5 linked regions of the Mus musculus genome follow. The protein of the gene in region 1 purifies or fractionates together with the protein of each later gene. This does not show direct contact. Links are inferred from orthologs where the notes say so. Each region holds a gene or a part of one and is shown in the gene's direction. Other genes may lie near its edges. The genes, in order: Stx8, Vamp4, Vamp8, Vamp3 and Stx12.

The links.
Region 2: the proteins of Stx8 (region 1) and Vamp4 purify together in Homo sapiens (co-immunoprecipitation; 3 studies listed by BioGRID and IntAct, counting the BioPlex papers as one, with this or other methods). This does not show direct contact. The link is inferred for Mus musculus from reciprocal best matches to the Homo sapiens genes STX8 and VAMP4.
Region 3: the proteins of Stx8 (region 1) and Vamp8 purify together in Homo sapiens (co-immunoprecipitation; 5 studies listed by BioGRID and IntAct, with this or other methods). This does not show direct contact. The link is inferred for Mus musculus from reciprocal best matches to the Homo sapiens genes STX8 and VAMP8.
Region 4: the proteins of Stx8 (region 1) and Vamp3 purify together in Homo sapiens (co-immunoprecipitation; 3 studies listed by BioGRID and IntAct, with this or other methods). This does not show direct contact. The link is inferred for Mus musculus from reciprocal best matches to the Homo sapiens genes STX8 and VAMP3.
Region 5: the proteins of Stx8 (region 1) and Stx12 purify together in Homo sapiens (affinity purification with mass spectrometry; 3 studies listed by BioGRID and IntAct, counting the BioPlex papers as one, with this or other methods). This does not show direct contact. The link is inferred for Mus musculus from reciprocal best matches to the Homo sapiens genes STX8 and STX12.

What each region holds. Positions count from the first base shown.
Region 1 is NC_000077.6:68,007,957-68,011,472, forward strand, and holds part of Stx8 (syntaxin-8), read left to right. Parts: intron 1-3,358; coding exon 3,359-3,483; intron 3,484-3,516. UniProt on the Homo sapiens protein: Vesicle trafficking protein that functions in the early secretory pathway, possibly by mediating retrograde transport from cis-Golgi membranes to the ER.
Region 2 is NC_000067.6:162,569,069-162,573,319, forward strand, and holds the start of Vamp4 (vesicle-associated membrane protein 4), read left to right. Parts: upstream 1-1,446; 5' UTR 1,447-1,712; intron 1,713-1,759; exon of another isoform or gene 1,760-1,811; intron 1,812-4,251. UniProt on the Homo sapiens protein: Involved in the pathway that functions to remove an inhibitor (probably synaptotagmin-4) of calcium-triggered exocytosis during the maturation of secretory granules.
Region 3 is NC_000072.6:72,384,721-72,387,683, reverse strand, and holds the end of Vamp8 (vesicle-associated membrane protein 8), read left to right. Parts: intron 1-2,030; coding exon 2,031-2,174; 3' UTR 2,175-2,463; downstream 2,464-2,963. UniProt on the Homo sapiens protein: SNAREs, soluble N-ethylmaleimide-sensitive factor-attachment protein receptors, are essential proteins for fusion of cellular membranes.
Region 4 is NC_000070.6:151,055,070-151,059,328, reverse strand, and holds the start of Vamp3 (vesicle-associated membrane protein 3), read left to right. Parts: upstream 1-1,453; coding exon 1,454-1,455; coding exon of another isoform or gene 1,456-1,888; exon of another isoform or gene 1,889-3,085; coding exon 3,086-3,167; exon of another isoform or gene 3,168-3,377; intron 3,378-4,259. Other genes in the region: uncharacterized protein Gm38529, read right to left, coding at 1,319-1,888. UniProt on the Homo sapiens protein: SNARE involved in vesicular transport from the late endosomes to the trans-Golgi network.
Region 5 is NC_000070.6:132,857,001-132,860,463, reverse strand, and holds part of Stx12 (syntaxin-12), read left to right. Parts: intron 1-1,972; coding exon 1,973-2,045; intron 2,046-3,081; coding exon 3,082-3,164; intron 3,165-3,463. UniProt on the Homo sapiens protein: SNARE promoting fusion of transport vesicles with target membranes. Together with SNARE STX6, promotes movement of vesicles from endosomes to the cell membrane, and may therefore function in the endocytic recycling pathway.

The sequences.
Region 1 (3,516 bases):
TTTGAGTTGAGCCTTAGGGGATGAATAGAATTTTGCCAGATGGACAAAGGGGTGGGGGTGGGGATACTCCAGACTCATGCAAAAACATGAGAGTGTGAAAGTTTGTGCCTTTGACTCTGTGGTAGTGAGCAGGATGTACGACTCAGGGAGATGAAGGGTGTGGTACTGGGGCATTGGGAGATGCTGCTGCTGAGACCATGGACCATCTTTTAAAGCTCACACGTAACCTATAGTTCCAGGGAGTCACGGAAGTTGTGAACCATGGAGATAATAATAGTGAGACTTCAGTTTTAGGTCATTCTATCATCAGAATGGGTCTGTAGGAGAGGTGAGGAGGGTCTAAAGCTAGGCTGTACTAACAGGGGAACATGTTGGCTGTGCATGAGGACAGTGAGCCATCTCTGAAGAACACCTCAGCCACTGCTGTGAGGTAGAAGGATAATTGCAGCAGCAGCAGCAGCAGCAGCAGCAACAACAGTAGTAACACAAGGCCCTGGATGGCACACTAAGCAGACTCGAGATGGGGAGGAGAAAAGCTTATGGGGCAAAGGAGTGAATTTGACCTTGCCTTTGCGAACTACTTGAGGATTCTTAAATGAGACAGGCATCACAGGGCACCTGTGGGAAAATGCCAAGGGCAGAGATACATTGGAAAGTCTTCAGCTTGGTGATTTTCTTGTAGGGAAAGGGAGGGAGGACATGCCTATTTTTTGTTTGTTTGTTTTTTTTCAAAAAAAAATTTTTTTTTACCACTTGGCTTATTTTACTTATTCATGTACCATTCTTTATCCTTACTTCAGAATATGATGTGACTCTACTAAGGCCAGTGTCAGTAGAGCAGTAGTGACTAATAGTAGGTATCACCCTAAGCTGATGAAGTGCATTCAGATGCATAGACGCATAGGAATGCTACAGGTGCATTGCTGGTAGGTCCAGGCCATCAGTAATCGAGGAAGACCAAGTCAGAGGAGCAGGAAGTAGGCGTGGCTTAGCTCTGGGAATTAGGTCATGCTGGGAAGTCTATTCTCTGTATCATGTTTACTATTGATATGAGCTTGTGCCCACATTTTTACTTTTATTCCCTAATAGGTGATTAAAGTATACACATACCACACACAAACTGCACACGTCAACACAGCTGGAGTCCTAACTTGCCATTTATTGAGGTTGCTTAAAATCACCTCACATTTGCTGAATTGTTTTTGTCCTTTCATATTAATACCTTAATTTTGTCTGTGTGCACAAGTGTGTGTACATTCATTTTGTGTTTTTTTTCTTTTTTTTGAGACAGGGTTTCTCTGTATAGTGTGTGTACATTAGTGTGTGTGTGTGTGTGTGTGTGAGAGAGAGAGAGAGAGAGAGAGAGAGAGAGAGAGAGAGACAGAGAGAGAGAGAGAGAGACAGAGAGAGATAGACAAGGGCTTGATACTAACCTTGGAGCAGTACCACTCAGTTTTGATACACTCACTGAAATGACTGCTCAGAGCTGGCCACCAATGCACTCCTGAGTCTCGGGCGATTTTTATAGTTTCTGACCCAGGCTTTTGCAGTGAGCCACATACAGCTACGGTGTGTTTCATGCTGGCACTTGCAAGATGACTCCGGTGCTAATGGATATGTTTGGATTGCAAATTGCCTGCTTCACTTCCCTTTTCATTTCTTTCTTCCTTGTCTTCAAAGCTAGGTGAAGCTAAGTGATTATGTATGGAGTAAGTGTGAAACCTCGACATCTTGGCTTCTTGGGGCCAATCATGTCAAGTAAAACCTTGAAGAACACATCTCTCTTTTTGATAGACTGGAAGAAAGTCATACTGGTGTTTGACATGTTAATTGGCACATTTGAATATGAGACCAGACCTGTGCGTAAAATCTTAGTCCAAAGAATCAAAACAGTCTTTGCATTTAGCCCAGGTTTTCTTGAAGGATATAGTCTCTTTTTAGTTAAAAGTGAAATTAATAGAATGTTGGAATATATTGTTTAAAATAATTTTAATACCTCCTAGTAGACAATGCAGTAATTGGTATAATGAAAACAGTTAATCTATTGAAAAAGATATTATTTCCCAAACACTGTATTCAGTAGTTTGCATACATTATTATCATCTCTTTTCACACACAAACATATACACACACAAGTACATGAGGACAACACCCACAAGGAGAAGCTGTATATTGTCAGGGCAAAATTTTGATCAGCTTGTACATAGTTTGTTTGATTAAAACAGTGCCTACTGAATAAGTATTGACAAAATCATTTTATGAATACATAAATTACTCTAGTTAATCCATGCTAAAACTTCCAGAGGTAGATGCTACTGTCTATATACTCCCAGTAAGTGGCATGCTCGTGGCTATTTGCTCTACACTGGGGAGCAGGGTGCAATAGAGGGGAGGTGGGTTCTATGTCCACTTCCTATCCAGTGGTCAGAAGGCTTAACGATATGGAAGGCCAAACAGTAGGGTAGCAGTTACTTCCAGACAACACAAGAGATGCCATCAGGGCTTGAAAAATGATAAGCAATGGAGAAATGAGTGAGTGTACACTAAATCACCCAGAGAGCGTCTGCACATAGCAGTTGCTTAATCCATGGTGACTGCTACTGTTCCTCCACTCCTACATCATCATCACCCCTCTCTCAGGCTCAGCAAGAGCAATGGTGTGAATCCCGTTCAACTCTGCACTGGAGCAGTCAGGGCAACGGGATTCTTACATCCTTTGGACAGGGAGGCAGCGGCAGGAACTACGCGCTCTGTCCTTAGATGGAAGACCAAGATGTGTTGTACAAGAGCCAATGTGCATTGCTTCAGGGGGGTAATGATCACAGTAGACAGTCACACTCAGTGTGATTGTTTTGACTGTAGTCACACAGTTGAATTGGAACTCTGAATGTGTTTCTGTGAGCAACCAAGCACCCTTTAATGGGAGATTTTATTACTTTTCTATGCTGTAATCTGTATTATTAGTATTATATTTGCATGAAAATATTTGTATTTTTATTTGTATATATTTGTATGAAAAAATATTATTTCTGTGCCTTCTGTGTCACAAAGCCTGTGAAACAAAATTTGTTCTGATAAACAGGCAACTTCCCGATGGCCTTGTGGTTTGAGACTTAACAACCTAATTTACCACCATCTTTGGAGGGTTAGTAGAATGCTGTGTAATTGTCTGGGGACCACAGCCTAGCCTCAGATCTCTTACAGCCCTGGGCATGGTCCCTAGAATAAACTAAGAGTGCGATAAATTGTGGAGATGGCTTTGCAAAGCGTGCCAGGCTGGCCAGCTCCGTGCTCGTCACAGTGATTTTCAGCCGGTTGTGTTTTGTGAGATATGTAATGTGCTTGCTATTGTTCTCAGGTCCAGCCTGATGAGCGAAGAAGCAAAGCGAGGAACTCCCAACCCTTGGCTCTGTGAGGAGCCGGAGGAGACCAGAGGTTTGGGTTTTGATGAGATCCGACAACAGCAGCAGAAAATTATTCAAGGTACCTATTGCTCCAGGACTGTGGCTCACAAGC
Region 2 (4,251 bases), on another chromosome or scaffold:
AATGCTAGTGATAGTCAAAGGGTCTCTCCCACATTACTAAAGAAGAGTGGGGGCATATGTTCCTGGCCCAAAAGCAATCAAAATAAGTAGCCAAATTAAGGCATTATGACTAAATACAAAGAAAAATAACAGATTACTCATAAGAATAATAAGGCATGTATGAATGACATGTCCATTGTAGCTCTACTATCGTATTTCCTTATGCTGTTAACAGACAAGGACATTAACTAGCTAAGGAAACAAGGCAAGGAAGTTCGGCATAGTAAGCAAATATACGGATAAAATCATCAACTGAAGGGGCTGGAGAGACGGCTCAGTGAGAAAAGGCACTTATCCTTCTTGTTAACGACCCAGGTTCAATTCCTAGCACCCACATGGCAGCTTGCAACAGCCTGTAACTCCAGTCCCAGGGGATTTGAAGTCCTCATCTGATCTTTAAGAGCATCAGGCATACACATAGTAGTGTATGCACATATATGCATGCAGCCAAAAACACCCATACACATAATAAATCTTTTAAAAACATTAAATAAATAGAAACAAACAAACAAAAGACCACCTCTGGGCTGTCTAGTGACTCCGTGATAATCTCACTACCATGCCCTGCCAGAGACACAGACTAAGATACCTTCTATCTGGGCAGGCCATTTCAGTCCAAGTCAGCCAAGTTGTGAGGAGAAAACTCTCAACCAGTGAGCCCAACAGCAACCCTAACTAAAGATCGGGTGAAAGAGGGCTTTCTCCTGGAATTTTCCTCCTCCGGTTTGTTTTCTTGTCCCTGAGCATCTTTTCTTATTTTTGTGTCTATCAAATAACTGGCAATATATTTCCCCACAGTTTAAAAACTCTTAACAAAGGACTAATAACCATTAAGCTTAAAAGACTTGGAGGAGGATAAATTAAAAAAAAAAAGAAAAGAAATACACATTTCTACAGTTTTGGACTAAGTCTATCAACGCCAGACTTCTTTAAATAAATATGTCAAGCAGAGACTGTAAAGGAGATGAATTATTGGCAGAATGGCAATGTAAGGGTGGTTTCCCGCCTGAATCCCTATGTTTGGATCCTGCCATTTAGGCTACAAGCAAAAGGAATGAAACTGAGTAACCCTCAGCAATTTTGTAAATGGTATCAGACAGATATTTTATCACATGCGGCCCCTTTTACTCAGGTCCCTCAGACAGCCCGCAAAGTAGCATCTTCTACGGGACCTACATCCTAGTCACCCTTTCAGCTCCAGTTGAAAGACTTCTCAGCGTTCCCTACTCATCCCATGTACAACCCACGTGCTCCTCCATCGGATCTGAACGTCACAACCCCGGGGGATTCTCCCGGGTTCAAGAAAGACGGAAGCGATCGACCCGCTCAGGGTCTCCATTGCCTGAACATGTCCCCTCCGCCAGAAGACAAGACCCGGAGCGCCGAGACGCTCGATCTCCGTTGCCTGAGCCTGCCCCCTTGCGCCCTCTCCAGGACTCGGAGTACCGAGCGGCTCGATCTCCCTCGCCTGAGCCCGCCCCCTCTGCCCAGCGCCAGGCGGCGGAGCGCCGAGTCGCTCGATGAGCGGGGGCGCTGCAGCAGAGCGGAGCGGTGGCGGCTCTGCGCCTTCGGCCTTCCCCCTCCCACCCTTCTTCCTCCGCTTCCCGCTCCCTCCCCCGCCTGCCCTGCGCTGCCAGCAGGGACTGCTGCCGGGAGCCCATCGGAGACCGCAGGTATCCCGCCCCGGCGCGCCTGAGCAGGCAGGAAGCCAGGCGACGCCCCTGCCTACCGCCCCCAACGTCCGCTGGGGCTGGGAACCGGCCTGCGCGAGGGTCGGGTCGCGAGTGGGGAAGGCCGGGGGCCCGGGGTGTCCTGAGGAAGGGGCGCGAGGACTGGGGAGGGGCTGGGGCGGCCGAGGAGCTTTGAGATCGAGTTGCCCTCCAGGGGGAGAGCTGTTCCCGAGGGGGCACCTGTACGGGGAGTCGGGGGCCAGAGTTCCGAGCAGATGTCGGGGTGCGTGGCCTGGGGTGGCGGCGGCGAAGGGAGCCGAGGAATTGGCCAGAGAGGCTCGCCTGAGGTCCTTCCTCGGGGGTTCGGAGAAAGCGCGCATCCCCGCTGTGCTTAGAATGACCCGGGGGTGGAGGTGAATCCTTACACGTAACAGGTTTTGCGAGTAAGATTTCCAGTCACGATTTGCGTGGAACTGTTACCAGCCGAGACTGCAGATGAGAAATGAGGAAGAACTGGCGAGGGGGATGGAGGCTGAGCAAAGGAAAGCCGTGCCCAGCCAGATTCGAGCTTTTTTAGCGAAATGAAATAGAGCTTGTTTTGTCGAGGTAAAAAGCCAGTGTAGATTAAACAACAGGTTAGAAGTGCGTTACATGTAAAGCCACGGAATAGAGAACGTACTACAGAAGATGCATACGAGAGATTTGAGCAAGCGGGGAAGTACACGTAAGAGTCGTGCGATGTTGACACTTCAGTGAACCGTGTGGTGTTCCATCCACGACGTGGAAAGACATCACGATGACTCTTACTACGTAGACACGTTAACGACAAGAATATTTTTGGTAGGAGGAACTGTAGGCAGAATGGAGTCAACTCTGATTTCTGAGTACAGTTTATTTACGCTACTTATTTTTAATCTGTAAATATCATTAGTTGCGGGTAGTTCCAGGGTAGCTCGTTTATCTATCTGCTGATTTGCTGGTGGTTTGTTTATTTGTCTAGCCTGAGTTTGCTTCCTTCCTCAAACTGATAGCTTGGATTTTAGAACTTGAATAAGAGGTTTACTCCTCATTACGTTTTAGTGTCATACCGTGTAAAGACATTTTGTGAATTTGCTTGATCCCTCTCTCCTGTTGGCTAAGATCAGCTTTTGCTGTTAGCTAAGATCAATATCTGTTATCAGCCAGTTGTTTCTTTTGGGCTGTCAAGGATATAAATATATCGTCCAGATACAGTTTAAATCTCATTTTCTCCAGTTCTTGCCTTATCAACTTTTTCCCGGTGCATTCTGTAATATTTCTGCATGAAATTTATTCTGAGATTAAGATGTAAGGAATAAAATGGGCCAGATGATTCTAACGGAAGTAATGTGGAATAAAGACCCCCAGGGCTGTGACTCATGCATGGATGGATAGCAGCTATGTTATAAGTGAAGTTGTTAGTTTAAAAACAACAGGAAGCTGACTTCAATGATATTACTTTGATTCGGGCTTCTCTTAGTGCCTTACCATCAATAAACTGATATCTAAATTATTTAAATATGTTTGTTTGTTTTTTATAGAAGATAGGTTGTTATAAGAAAGGATACCTTTCTAAAACAGAGTTCTAGAACACGATGGCAACTAAATGACTAAATATTAAAACTGATAGTGCATAGCCACTTATTGGTCTGTTTGAGTGGTGTGACATAACACAGTTATCTTAGTAAATTTTCTTAATGCTTACTTGAAAGAAGTGTCAAGAATAAAAGAAAATGCATTATGTAACTCGATGCTAAGAATGCTTCTGTTACTGAAGATGCATACATGGGTTTAGCACGTACTAAGCATCTTAGGCTTTTATAGATTTTTTTAGTCAGTCATCATCTGCTCCAAAATACTGGAAATGTATATTTGCATATAGCCACTCCCCTAGAAAAATTTGATTATGTTGCATACTCAAGTATTCCCTGGAAAAATCACAGTGCACATTAACATATAAAAGGCTGTGGGTGCTTCCACAGCAAAGGAGCACTGCTTTGTTTAACTTCTTTGTTTTTATGTATGAAAAAGCACATTTTCTCTCAGAAAATGTCTGTGTACCCAGACAGCAAGGAGGGTGTTTTTCCTCAGAAAGCAAGCAATTTTGCGGGAGATTCTCCAGGAGACACCAGTTGAGAGTCCTCTTAGTTCGTTTCTACCACTGTCTACTAGGAAATAGCCACAACTGTCCCCTTCTTCAGGTGGCCACTGAATAGAAACCTTCTACAGAAGATACGTACGTGACATTAAAGCGGGCAGTGAAGTACACATAGAGTGTACTTCCAAGTTACTGTACCTGATTGGCTGTAAATTGTGATGGCCACAGTCTCTTTGTTGGTTTCAATTAGTTTACTAGACTGGTTCACAGAATGCAGGGAGTCACTTTGCTTAAGTTTGCCAGTTTATTTTTAGAGACTGATAGAAAGGGTGCAGATTAATTATCAGATGGGCTAGATGGAAAAGTATGAGGAGCCCAGAGCTCTTCTGATCCTCCAGGTGCCCACCCTCTAGAAAGTCACATGTT
Region 3 (2,963 bases), on another chromosome or scaffold:
GGGCAGAAGAAAGTCTAACACAAACCAAGGCTGGGGCCTCAGTTTTCACTTGCTGTGGAGTACACTGGCTTCCTGGGTCCATTGGGTTATCTTGGAATCTAGTGCCTCCTGCAGCATAAGCTGGGCACATGGAGACTTAGTGTCTGTATTAACTTGGAGAAGCAGGAGGCTTTTTTCTTTCTTCCTTTCTTCCTTTCTTCCTTTCTTCCTTTCTTCCTTTCTTCCTTTCCTTTCCTTTCTTCCTTTCTTCCTTTCTTCCTTTCTTCCTTTCTTCCTTTCTTCCTTTCTTCCTTTCTTCCTTTCTTCCTTTCTTCCTTTCTTCCTTTCTTCCTTTCTTCCTTTCTTCCTTTCTTCCTTTCTTCCTTTCTTCCTTTCTTCCTTTCTTCCTTTCTTTTCTTTCTTTTCTTTCTTTCTTTCTTTCTTTCTTTCTTTCTTTCTTTCTTTCTTTCTTTCTTTCTCAAGACAGGGTTTCTCTGTGTAGCCCTGGCTGTCCTGGAACTCACTTTGTAGACCAGGCTGGCCTCGAACTCAGAAATCCACCTGCCTCTGCCTCCCAAATGCTGGGATTAAAGGCGTGCGCAACCACGCCCAGCTCTTTCTTTTAAGTTTCTGCAGTGCTTTGGTTCTTCCTTCAGCTTCTACAGAACTCAGAAGACAAAGCAAAGTATCATTGAGCCAGGACATGTGCCCATCTGGAGCACATTCCTGTACCCCTTAGCTTGTGGGTCTGTGCTCCAAAGGCCAGATTTCTCTACCAGTCAAACAAACTCCAATTGTGAGCATATATCTGTAAAAGACCCCTTAGTATGCAGGTTAGTGCAGGGGCAAGAAAAAGAAGGGAGACTGGACATAAGACTCAGGTGGTAGAGTACTTCACTAGACTTCACGAAGCCCTGGGTTCAGTCCCTGGCACTATATAAATATGGTATTGTGGCACACGCCTGTAATCTGAACTCTTTGAAGGTAGAGGCAAGTGGATCAGAAGTTCAAAGCCAGGCCATTGAGATGGCTCAAAAGGTAAAGACACTTGGTACCAAGCCTAAGGATTTGAGTTCCATTTGTGGGATTCATATGGTTGGTAGTCTTGATTCCTATAAAATGACCTCTGACCTCCACTGTGGCTTGTGCACACCACACACATAAACAAACAAACAAATAAATATTGTTTTTAAAAGTTCAAGGTCGCCGGGCATGGTGGATTAATCCCAGCACTCGGGAGGCAGAGGCAGGTGGATTTCTGAGTTCGAGGCCAGCCTGGTCTACAGAGTGAGTTCCAGGACAGCCAGGACTACACAGAGAAACCCTGTCTCGAAAAACCAAACAACAAACAAACAAACAAACAAACAAAAGTTCAAGGTCATCCTTTGCTACAAGGAGTGGAGGCCAGGCTTTGCTGTATGAGATCCCGACTAGAAAGATAGAAACAGAAAAGGAAGGGACCCTGCTATGCTCAGAGGGAAGTTTTATGAGTTCAAGAATTCTAAACTAGAACTTGGCTTACAGATTGTTGTAGAAAGACATTTGTGAAGCAGCCAGAGATAGACAGATCTCTGAAGCTCCTGGCCATCCAGGCATACTTAGTGAGGCCCTGTCTCAAAAGTAAAACAAAACAAAACAAAACAAACAAACAAAAAAAAAAAAAACCAGAGAGAGATCAGTGGGTAAAGACTTTTGTCAGCGAGCCTGGCTGCGTGGGTTCAATCCCCAGGACATACAGAGGAGAAGAGAGAACCATTTCCTGCAAGTCGACCCCTCTCCACCACGTGGGCAGTGTGGCACATAAGGCAGAGGCACAAATACATGTTATAAAGTATTTTTAAGAACCTTTCCATTCCTATTGTAAGAGGAAAGAATTGTTCACTTATTTGTGTTTTTATTTCGAAGTGGCTATCCTCCAGCTCCAGCGTCTTTTTTTCCGTTTCCTACTTCGATTTATAATGTAATGTAAACATCTATACTATGGCATGTGGTGTCCGTCTGTACTCTCAGTCTGAGGGCAGGAGCTCACGACTTTATCTTATCCCCAACAGTCTGAACACTTCAAGACAACGTCCCAGAAGGTGGCCCGGAAGTTCTGGTGGAAGAATGTGAAGATGATTGTCATCATCTGTGTGATTGTCCTTATCATCGTCATCCTCATTATACTTTTTGCCACTGGTACCATCCCCACTTAAGAGTCCCTTCCATCCCACCCTACTCCTCAGGGGTGACCTCCCTAATATGTGCCAAGAGGAGCCCTCTCCTGTCCTCCTCCACCCAAGTGCTGCTCAGTCCCTGTGAGGGCCTTCTGCTGCATCAGATGCCCCAGACGCACCTTGATCCCCTGGGAGGAGACAGCTGGACTGTAGCTGCATCTCATGGTCCTGAGAGTGGGTTACAGAGACCCAGAGGACCCTGTCTGTGGCTGGGAAACTGTTGGTGGCTGGTGGGCAATAAAGACCTCTTGGTATCCCTAAGTGTACGAGGCGCTTTACTCCTGTGTCTTTCAAGTGTCTGTTTCTTTCTTTCTGAGGAACCCCTCCAGGCTGGTTTCTCCCAATCTAGAACCAAGATAGTGCAAGGATTGAGCACAGGTTTAGTGAAGAAAGATGGCAGCTCAGAGGCTTTGCATACCTGAATTAGATATGCCAATCACTAGACCCAGCTAGAATCAATAAGTCAGTCAGTCTGTCTGTCTGTCTTTAAAAGGACTTTTATTTTTTAAGAAGAATGAGTATGGGTTTAGAGAGATGGCTCAGAGGTTGAGAGCACTGACTGCTCTTCCAGAAGTCCTGAGTTCAATTCCCAGCAACCACATGGTGGCTCACAACCATTCTGTAATGGGATCTGATACCCTCTTGTGGTGTGTCTGAAGACAGCTACAGTGTACTCATAGACACTAAAAAAAATAAAGAAAATTATTTAAAAAAATAAGTATGAGTATGTGAATGAAGAGCCTGCAGAGGCCAGAAGAGGATGTTGGT
Region 4 (4,259 bases), on another chromosome or scaffold:
GCAGTTACTTGGAAGATAAGGATCTCAATTTTAAATTAACCTTTCTCATGTAGCTCAGAGTACCCATGAATTCCCAACGCTTAAGCTTAAGGGTGACATTGAACCTCTTAACCTTTTACCTAAAAGCTTTCGTTGCGATTATGGGTGTGCTAACAGCCTGGGTCTACGTGGTTCTGGGGATCAAACCCAGGGCTGCATATTAGACAAGCACTCTGCCAACTAAGTACACTCTTTAGCTCTACTAGGTAGTTGGCTGGGTTGTGTGTGTGTGGTTTTTGTGTGTGTTTTTTTTTTTTTTAAGACCCTTTCCAGCTTACCTCACAAGGCCTCCCTGCTAGGTATTCTTCGTCACTGTTCCAGTCCTCTTGGCTGTAGAGTTCTGTTATCTCTCTGGTAGGACTTCACTTCTGATCTACCTCAGAACTAGTGCCAGTTTCACACTCTGAACCTCCCACCAGGAGCCCACTGCATTTTCTGTTCACTGTTTAAGCCCGGCCCCACACTCTCCATTTCCTCCTATCCAGAATGGTTTTTATAACTACTACTCAACCTAGTACCCACTGGTGTGGCGCTCTTTAATTGCAACACACACCTTTGGGAGTTACCATGCTGAAGTGGAAAAATACCTTAGTGTATTTCATTGAGTGAATCCACCAACGGAGTTTATTTAGTCTGTTTTAGACCTTGTTGGGATTCTTTTCCACATAACTACTCACCCCCGTTGAACAAAAATTGAGTGTCGTCTCCGCAAGGGCCAGGGAATTACAGAAATGAAGAACCTTACAGTTCTCTAAGCCAAGGCTCCCTTTAGGGATTTAATATCCGTGCAATGGCAAATATTTGTCATGTGAGAACCTGAGAGGAGACTTCTCCCAAATCCTGTGGCCAAGACTCCACATGGACTTCCTACTGCCTCTTTCTCAGAAAAGAACTTTGTCTCCTCAGGACCACTAGATTATTCTGGAACGTTAGGCACGTCCGCTGTTTCTAACATGAGAGACAAGGTATGCGGGCTCACAGTAATGTAAAACGTACCCATTCTCACTCTAAACTGCCTTTCCAGGGCTAGAGACAGGGCAGCAGAGACACTGCAGGGAGCTGCTGTGATTCCTTGGCGGCGAAGAGCCCAGCCCAAAGGCGCAGGCGCCGCGCTCTAGCCCCGCCCACTTGTCCACCGAGAACGCCCGCCCACTCGTCAGCGCCGGCGCTACTTCAGCGCAAGCTCTGGCCCCTCCCACTCCGCTCTGCTCCGAGGTGACAGCCCGCGCTGCGCCCGGCTCGATTCCTATCCCGCCCATTTCCGGCGCGCCCCTGGCGACTAAGAGCGCGTCGCGGGTTCCGGTCCGGCCACCGCTCGTGACGTCACCACGGCCCCGCCCATCTCCTCAGCCTCGGTTGCCTGCAGCGCGAGTCCGTCGACCCTCGGCCATTCGCCGCCGCCACCGCCGCCAAAATGTGAGTGACGCGCTGCGCTGAGAGGCGAGGCGGGCTCCGGGGATGGTGGCCCACTCCTGCGACCCGCTTCAGGCGCGGTGGCCGCTGCTTGACACTCGGACTCGAGTGGAGGCCTCGCAGGCCTACGCGCGGAGTCCCGGGGCCTGAGGTGGGCAGCGGCCCCGCGGTGCACCCTGTCCCCGGACGCTGCGGGACGAGTCGTGGCGCCGCGACGTCCCCGAGTGCCCCGCGGACGGCGGGCAGACGCGGAAGGACGGGGGTGGGGACACCGCCTGACCGAGGAAGCGGCCGCCACACCCCGCGGCTCCTTCCTCGCGAGGGGCGGGAGCGAGCGTGAACGCTCACTCTGTGCGCGGGGTGCGCCCGGCAGGAGCGGGAGACCTGAGGTGGCCGGGAGCCCGTCGTAGGCCAGCGTTTGGCGCTCCCGACGCATCTGGGCAATGGGTTTCTCTTCCGTTTTAAGCCAGCACACTCTGGTTTTAAAATTGGTTTCTAATTGCAACCTTCAGCCAGAATTGTTGTCACCACTTAAGATGTACCTGGTCAGACTGCTGAGCAAATGGCAGTGTCCGGTCCACACTCAAGAGGATTAAATTGGTTCAGTTCAGCCAGCCGCATGTTCAGCCTAAGTTTTAATAAGATGGGAAGGATCGTAGTATCCTCTTTAGTGATATTAGACTTTAAAGAGAGAAAAAATAAATAACATGGATAGTGCTTCCAGAGCACGGTCCTTACCTGTTTAATTTTCGGACCCTGAGTTATGTGAGACAGCCATCAGTGATGTGTCCTTGGTGGTAGACACAGTGCAAACTTTAAAAAGTGCTGTGAGTCAACCCTAGAGTGACAGTTGTGTAGGAAGGCAAAAATTGGAAGCTGTTTTAGATACAAGAGTTTAATGGAGGCAATAAGGACTTAAAAACCAGAGTACTTGTGAAAAGTGGGGATGAGTGAAAATCCAGACTCACTGAACCTATGAGAGATGAATGACTTTCCAACAGAGACAGTTGCTTCAGCCTCCTTCCCGTTCATACAGACCCCCTCCATGCACTTTGAACCTATTTCTTCATATTGTCTGTTCTGTGATTGTTCCTAATTATCAGCCACAACAAAAAGATCAGGAGTCTACTTTAAACATCTGTGTGTCTTAAAGCAAGTTTAAAAAAAAAAAAAACCCACACTTTATTGACATAGAACAGATCTTGTTAAATATTTGTTTCAGACTTTTATCACTATCAAGTGATACAGTCTTAAGAATTATTGAGGGGTTATAAAAACATATTAGTGCCTTTATTTTTTACCTTGGGACTTTTAAGAAATAACTGCAGTGTAAGGAGTTAAGACTGCGTCCCACCATAACAGTTTATACACACAAACAGGCCATGGTATACTTGAGAGCAAAGGACACTTGAGAGCAGAGAACAACCTCACATGTCAGTCCTGGCTTTCCACCTTATTGGAGACACTATCTCTTGTTCAGTGCTGCATGTATCAGGTGAGCTGGCCCTCAGGCTTCCAAGACTCTCATGTGTCCACCTCCCATGTCATGGTTGGAGCATTGGGATTATATATTAGCTTATCAAGTGCACTGGGAATTACAGTGTACTCATACTTGTGACTTTATACCTTTCAGGTCTACAGGTGTGCCTTCGGGGTCAAGTGCTGCCACTGGCAGTAATCGAAGACTCCAGCAGACACAAAATCAAGTAGATGAGGTACCACTCTAAAATTTTAAATGTGACTTTTAAACAAACATGGGAATTCTCTAGAATTTTATTTAGAAAAAGAGTCGTTGGAGCTAGAAAGATGTCTCGGGAGTTAAAAGAACACTTACTTGTTCTAGCAGAGGATCCACCTGGGTTCCAAGCACTCTCATTTGTATCACGAAACTGCTTGTAACTGCCTCCAAGGGCACATGCATGCACCTGTACACACAGACACAAGCATGTAATTATTTTTTTAAAACATTAGAGAAAAAAGGCATCAGCAGTGTGTGGGCATAAATTTTGACTATATCAGAAGTCATCTTTTTAAACGTGTATTTAAAGGGCAATAGTACAGATTCTGCGAGAAACTCAGACAAGTATTTCCATATTCTTTTTGTTTAGGTTTATTTTTATTTTATGTATATGATGCTTTGCCTGAATGTTCTAGAAGCCATCTTCTAAGCACAAAGGAGACTCTTCCTGGTTTCATACTAATTTTTCTACTACCAATTACAAACCTAAAACATATCTGAAAGCTTGTCCCCAGAGCCACTTGTAAGATAGGGTAATTGGATTATTCAAGCCAGGAACAAGTCTTTCTGATTTGGGTTTTGTTTTGTTTCCAAATTGTTGTGTGTCTTATAGCCAGGTTTACTAGTTCCCTAATAGAGGCAGGTCTTTGCTTTCTCTGATATTTGTTGAAGGACCCATAGCAGGTGGAACTGCTGTAGCCCCAGCTCTCCCTAGAATTCTTGAGCTAGTGGAGTCTTAAGGCATCTTTTGTTTTGGTGTGCTCATGTAGAACCACAGTGCAGATCCTGCGAGAAGCTCAGACCACTACTTCCATATTTTTTTATTAAGATTTACAAGTATGAGGGTTTTGCCTACATGTACGTGTACTGTGTGTATATGTGTGTGTGTGTGTATGTACTATGTGTGTGTGCTGTGTGTGTATGCAGTTTCTGCAGAGTCCAGAAGACATCAAAACCCTTGGAACTAGAGTTATAGAAGGTTTTCAGCTGCTTTATTGGTGCTGGGAACTAAACCCAGGTTGAACCATCTCCCCACTCATACACACACACACACACACACACACACACT
Region 5 (3,463 bases), on another chromosome or scaffold:
TGAAAAGGGCTGTGTTAAGTCTTTGTGTGTTTGTGTTTTTTTTTAATTTATTTATTATATCGTAAGTCCACTGTAGCTGACTTCAGACACACCAGAAGAGGGCATCAAATCTCATTAAGAATGGTTGTGAGCCACCATGTGGTTGCTGGAATTTGAACTCAGGACCTCCGGAAGCGCAGTCAGTGCTCTTAACCGCTGAGCCATCTCTCCAGCCCCTTTGTGTGTTTTATATTATCTATAAATTTAGTTGTGGCAAAATTGAACTTCTGCTATGTTCTGTTGGCCTGGCCGCTCAAAAGCTCCCAGATTCTTGCTCAAACCCCATTTACTGTATGGTCTCTGGGAGAGACTCATGCATGGAAAACAGCAAAGCAAGCGATACTCTGTTGATTCCTAGAACTCTCATCTCAGTAGCTATCTCCAGGGTAAGCAGGGTTCTGTGTGGAGAGCTCTTTTTCATAGTCTGCATAGCCCAGCCGAAAGGCAGGCTCCGGCTCTGCTTTTGTACATTCTAAAGTCCAGTTCCAAGTATAGCCCTTGCCCCGTCATTGGGTCAGACTTGGAAACACTTTTGATGTGGGGTTGAGGGAAAGTTCTGTAAGCTGTCCTTGGCTCCTTGAGCTCCATCATAACCAAGGCAACTGAGTTTAAAAAAAAAAAAAAAGCATTTAAAAAATGTTATCAAAAGTATGATCATATGGTGTGGTGGTTTGGATGAGTATTACTGCAGTTGTAGATTATTTCAGAAGGACTAGGAGGTGTGGTTTAAAGTTTTAAATGTTTAAAATTTAGTTTATTTTGTATTATGTTTATGAGTGCTCTTGGGGATCAGAAAAGGGGTCAGATCCCTTGGAACTAGAGTTCTGGGTGGTTGTGAGCTCTGCCATGTGTGTGCTGGGAACTGAACCTGGGTCCTCTGCAAGATCAACAACTGATTAACTGCTGAGCTATCTCTCCTCCAGCATTTAAGTAGGGACTTGCTTACAGTTTAGGCAGGCAGGCAGGCGGGCTTTGGGAGCTAACATCTGATCCACAAGTGAGAGAGACAGAGAGAGAGAGAACACAGAGAGAACAGAGAGAAAGAAAAACATGAATTGGGCCTGGCTTAGGCTTTTGGAGCTTGAAAGCCCACCCCCTGTGATACATCTCCTCTAACAAGGCCACCCTTTCCAATCCTTCCTAACCCTTCCTGGATGGCCCTCCACCTGGGGCAATACTTATTCACACCATACCATACGCACATACCTTTAACAGGCACCAGTCCATTGCTCTTCCACCTGACTTGTGTTTGCCATGGCTTATTACCTATGAAAGTATAAACCTGAACATAGAGAATCTTACCTCCATCACTGCTGGAGATACTGTGCAGCTGAGCCCACCAAGCTGGGAAGTTATTGAACATTTTCAGTCAGATCAGCTTCCAAGTGATGTCCTTTCACCCTGCCAACTGTTCTCCAACAGTTTGTCAGTTGGAAGTTGTTTATAGGGCATCATTCAAGTGACACAGAATCCGGTAGTTCCTCACATAGTTCCTCACATAGTCTGCCCTGTGGAAACCATCTCCTTGGCTGCTTGTCTTCTATGTGTTCTCCAGGCAACACAGTCCTATAGAAGCCATTTAAATTCTCTAGTCAGAAGGCCTAGTAGTGGCTGACGTTGGTCTGCTCTCCCTAGAGCCGTCACACTGAGCATGTGTCCACCACAGCACTCCAGCGTCTGGTGGATACAGTTGAGGCTTGAATGATCTTACTAGTTCCCAGGTAACATGGGCAGTGAATATTGCTCAGTGAGTGGGGTTCGTGTCTGTTGTTCTACAGTATTAGGTAAGCAGCAATAGATAGTTTTCTATTCATGGAGAAACCTTTAAAATGCATGTGATTATTAATCTTTAGGGAAAGAAAAGAAAAATCTTCTAGCATATTGCTTAGTGTGAGCTAATTGTTTTTGTTTTTGTTTTTTTAATCTCCCTTAGGCTGACATTTTGGATGTCAATCAGATATTTAAAGATTTAGCTATGATGATCCATGACCAAGGTGATCTGATCGGTATGTACTATTAATACATCTAACCTTAGGGTGAGTACAAAGAACTCAGTAAGATGGGTCACTGGGAACTTAACTTAGGAATATCTTTTTTTAAAATTACTGAATTCATTTAAGTGTAAAGGCTGAAGAGGGTGAACCCTGTTCATTTGTTACAGCCTGCAAGTCTGTTAGAGAAAGGCCTGTCACACCCCAGCTTTGAGCTCTAGACGCTCAGGGATTGCGGGGTTAGTAACTTTTAAAAGCTTTTTAATGAGGAAATGATCTCAAATTTATAAAAAGCTGCAAAATAAAAACAATAGAAGAAATCTTTTATATATCCCTACCCAGGATTTTCCTGGTTAATAACATTGTGCCCCCTTTATTTTGTGATGTACACCTCTCTGTGTGTGTAGATACATAAATATGCCGTCTGCACCCCCCCCCAGTCTTTTCTCTTAAACTCTATATAGGTTACATAATTAGTAACCTGCTACTATTAAATATGTCAGTGTTTATTTTTGAAGAATGGTACTGTTCTCTTATCAAGTTAGAAACGTGTAGCTGGGAATGGTAGTGATGCCTGTAGCCTCTGCACTCAGTGGCTGCATGACGGTCGGGAGTTTAGGCAGCGTCAGGTACAGGGCATGTTGTTGAGGATGCTGAGGCCATCTCAGACTCCGTGAGACCCTATCTCAGAAGACTAAATGAAAAGAAGCACATTTCTGATCTCGTGGCTGGCTGGTTTGGATGGTAATGGTGAATCTAAGGCCTGTGCCATCAGACATGTTCAGAGGGGCTGGATAGATGGCACAGCAGCTGAGAACAGTGTCTGCCCTTCCAAAAGACTATGGTCTGATTCCCAGCACCTACTCACCAGCTCATAGCCATCGGTAGCTCTAGTTCTGAGGGATCCAACACCCTCCAGGAATGTACATGGTATACAGATTGCAGATAAAACATCTATATACTTTTTTTAAAAAAGAAAAAATTTGCTTGTTTGGTTTTTTCAGTATTGAAATACCTGAATGTGCTAAAATGTGCATCGTATGTTTTACAGATAGCATAGAAGCCAATGTGGAAAGCTCGGAGGTGCATGTGGAAAGAGCCACTGATCAGCTACAAAGAGCTGCTTACTATCAGGTAAAAGCCAGAGTCAAAGAAAGTCACTCTATGCTGTAGACTCTGTGAACTTCCAGGCTGTGTTAACACATTGCTGGCAGCTGCAGTCTTTTGCTTGAGTTTAAGCTGGATGCAGGCAGTCATAGTTTGCAGCTCTAGTCCCATTTTTAGTATTTATTTTTGTAGCCAGATCTCCAATACCATCAAATCCTGAATAACTTACATAGAAGCTGTGTGGCTATAAAGCTAATGCCACGAGCTAGCTTGATGCCTAAAGTCTAGCATGATGCTAACCTTATATCCTAAATGGGGGACTGTTG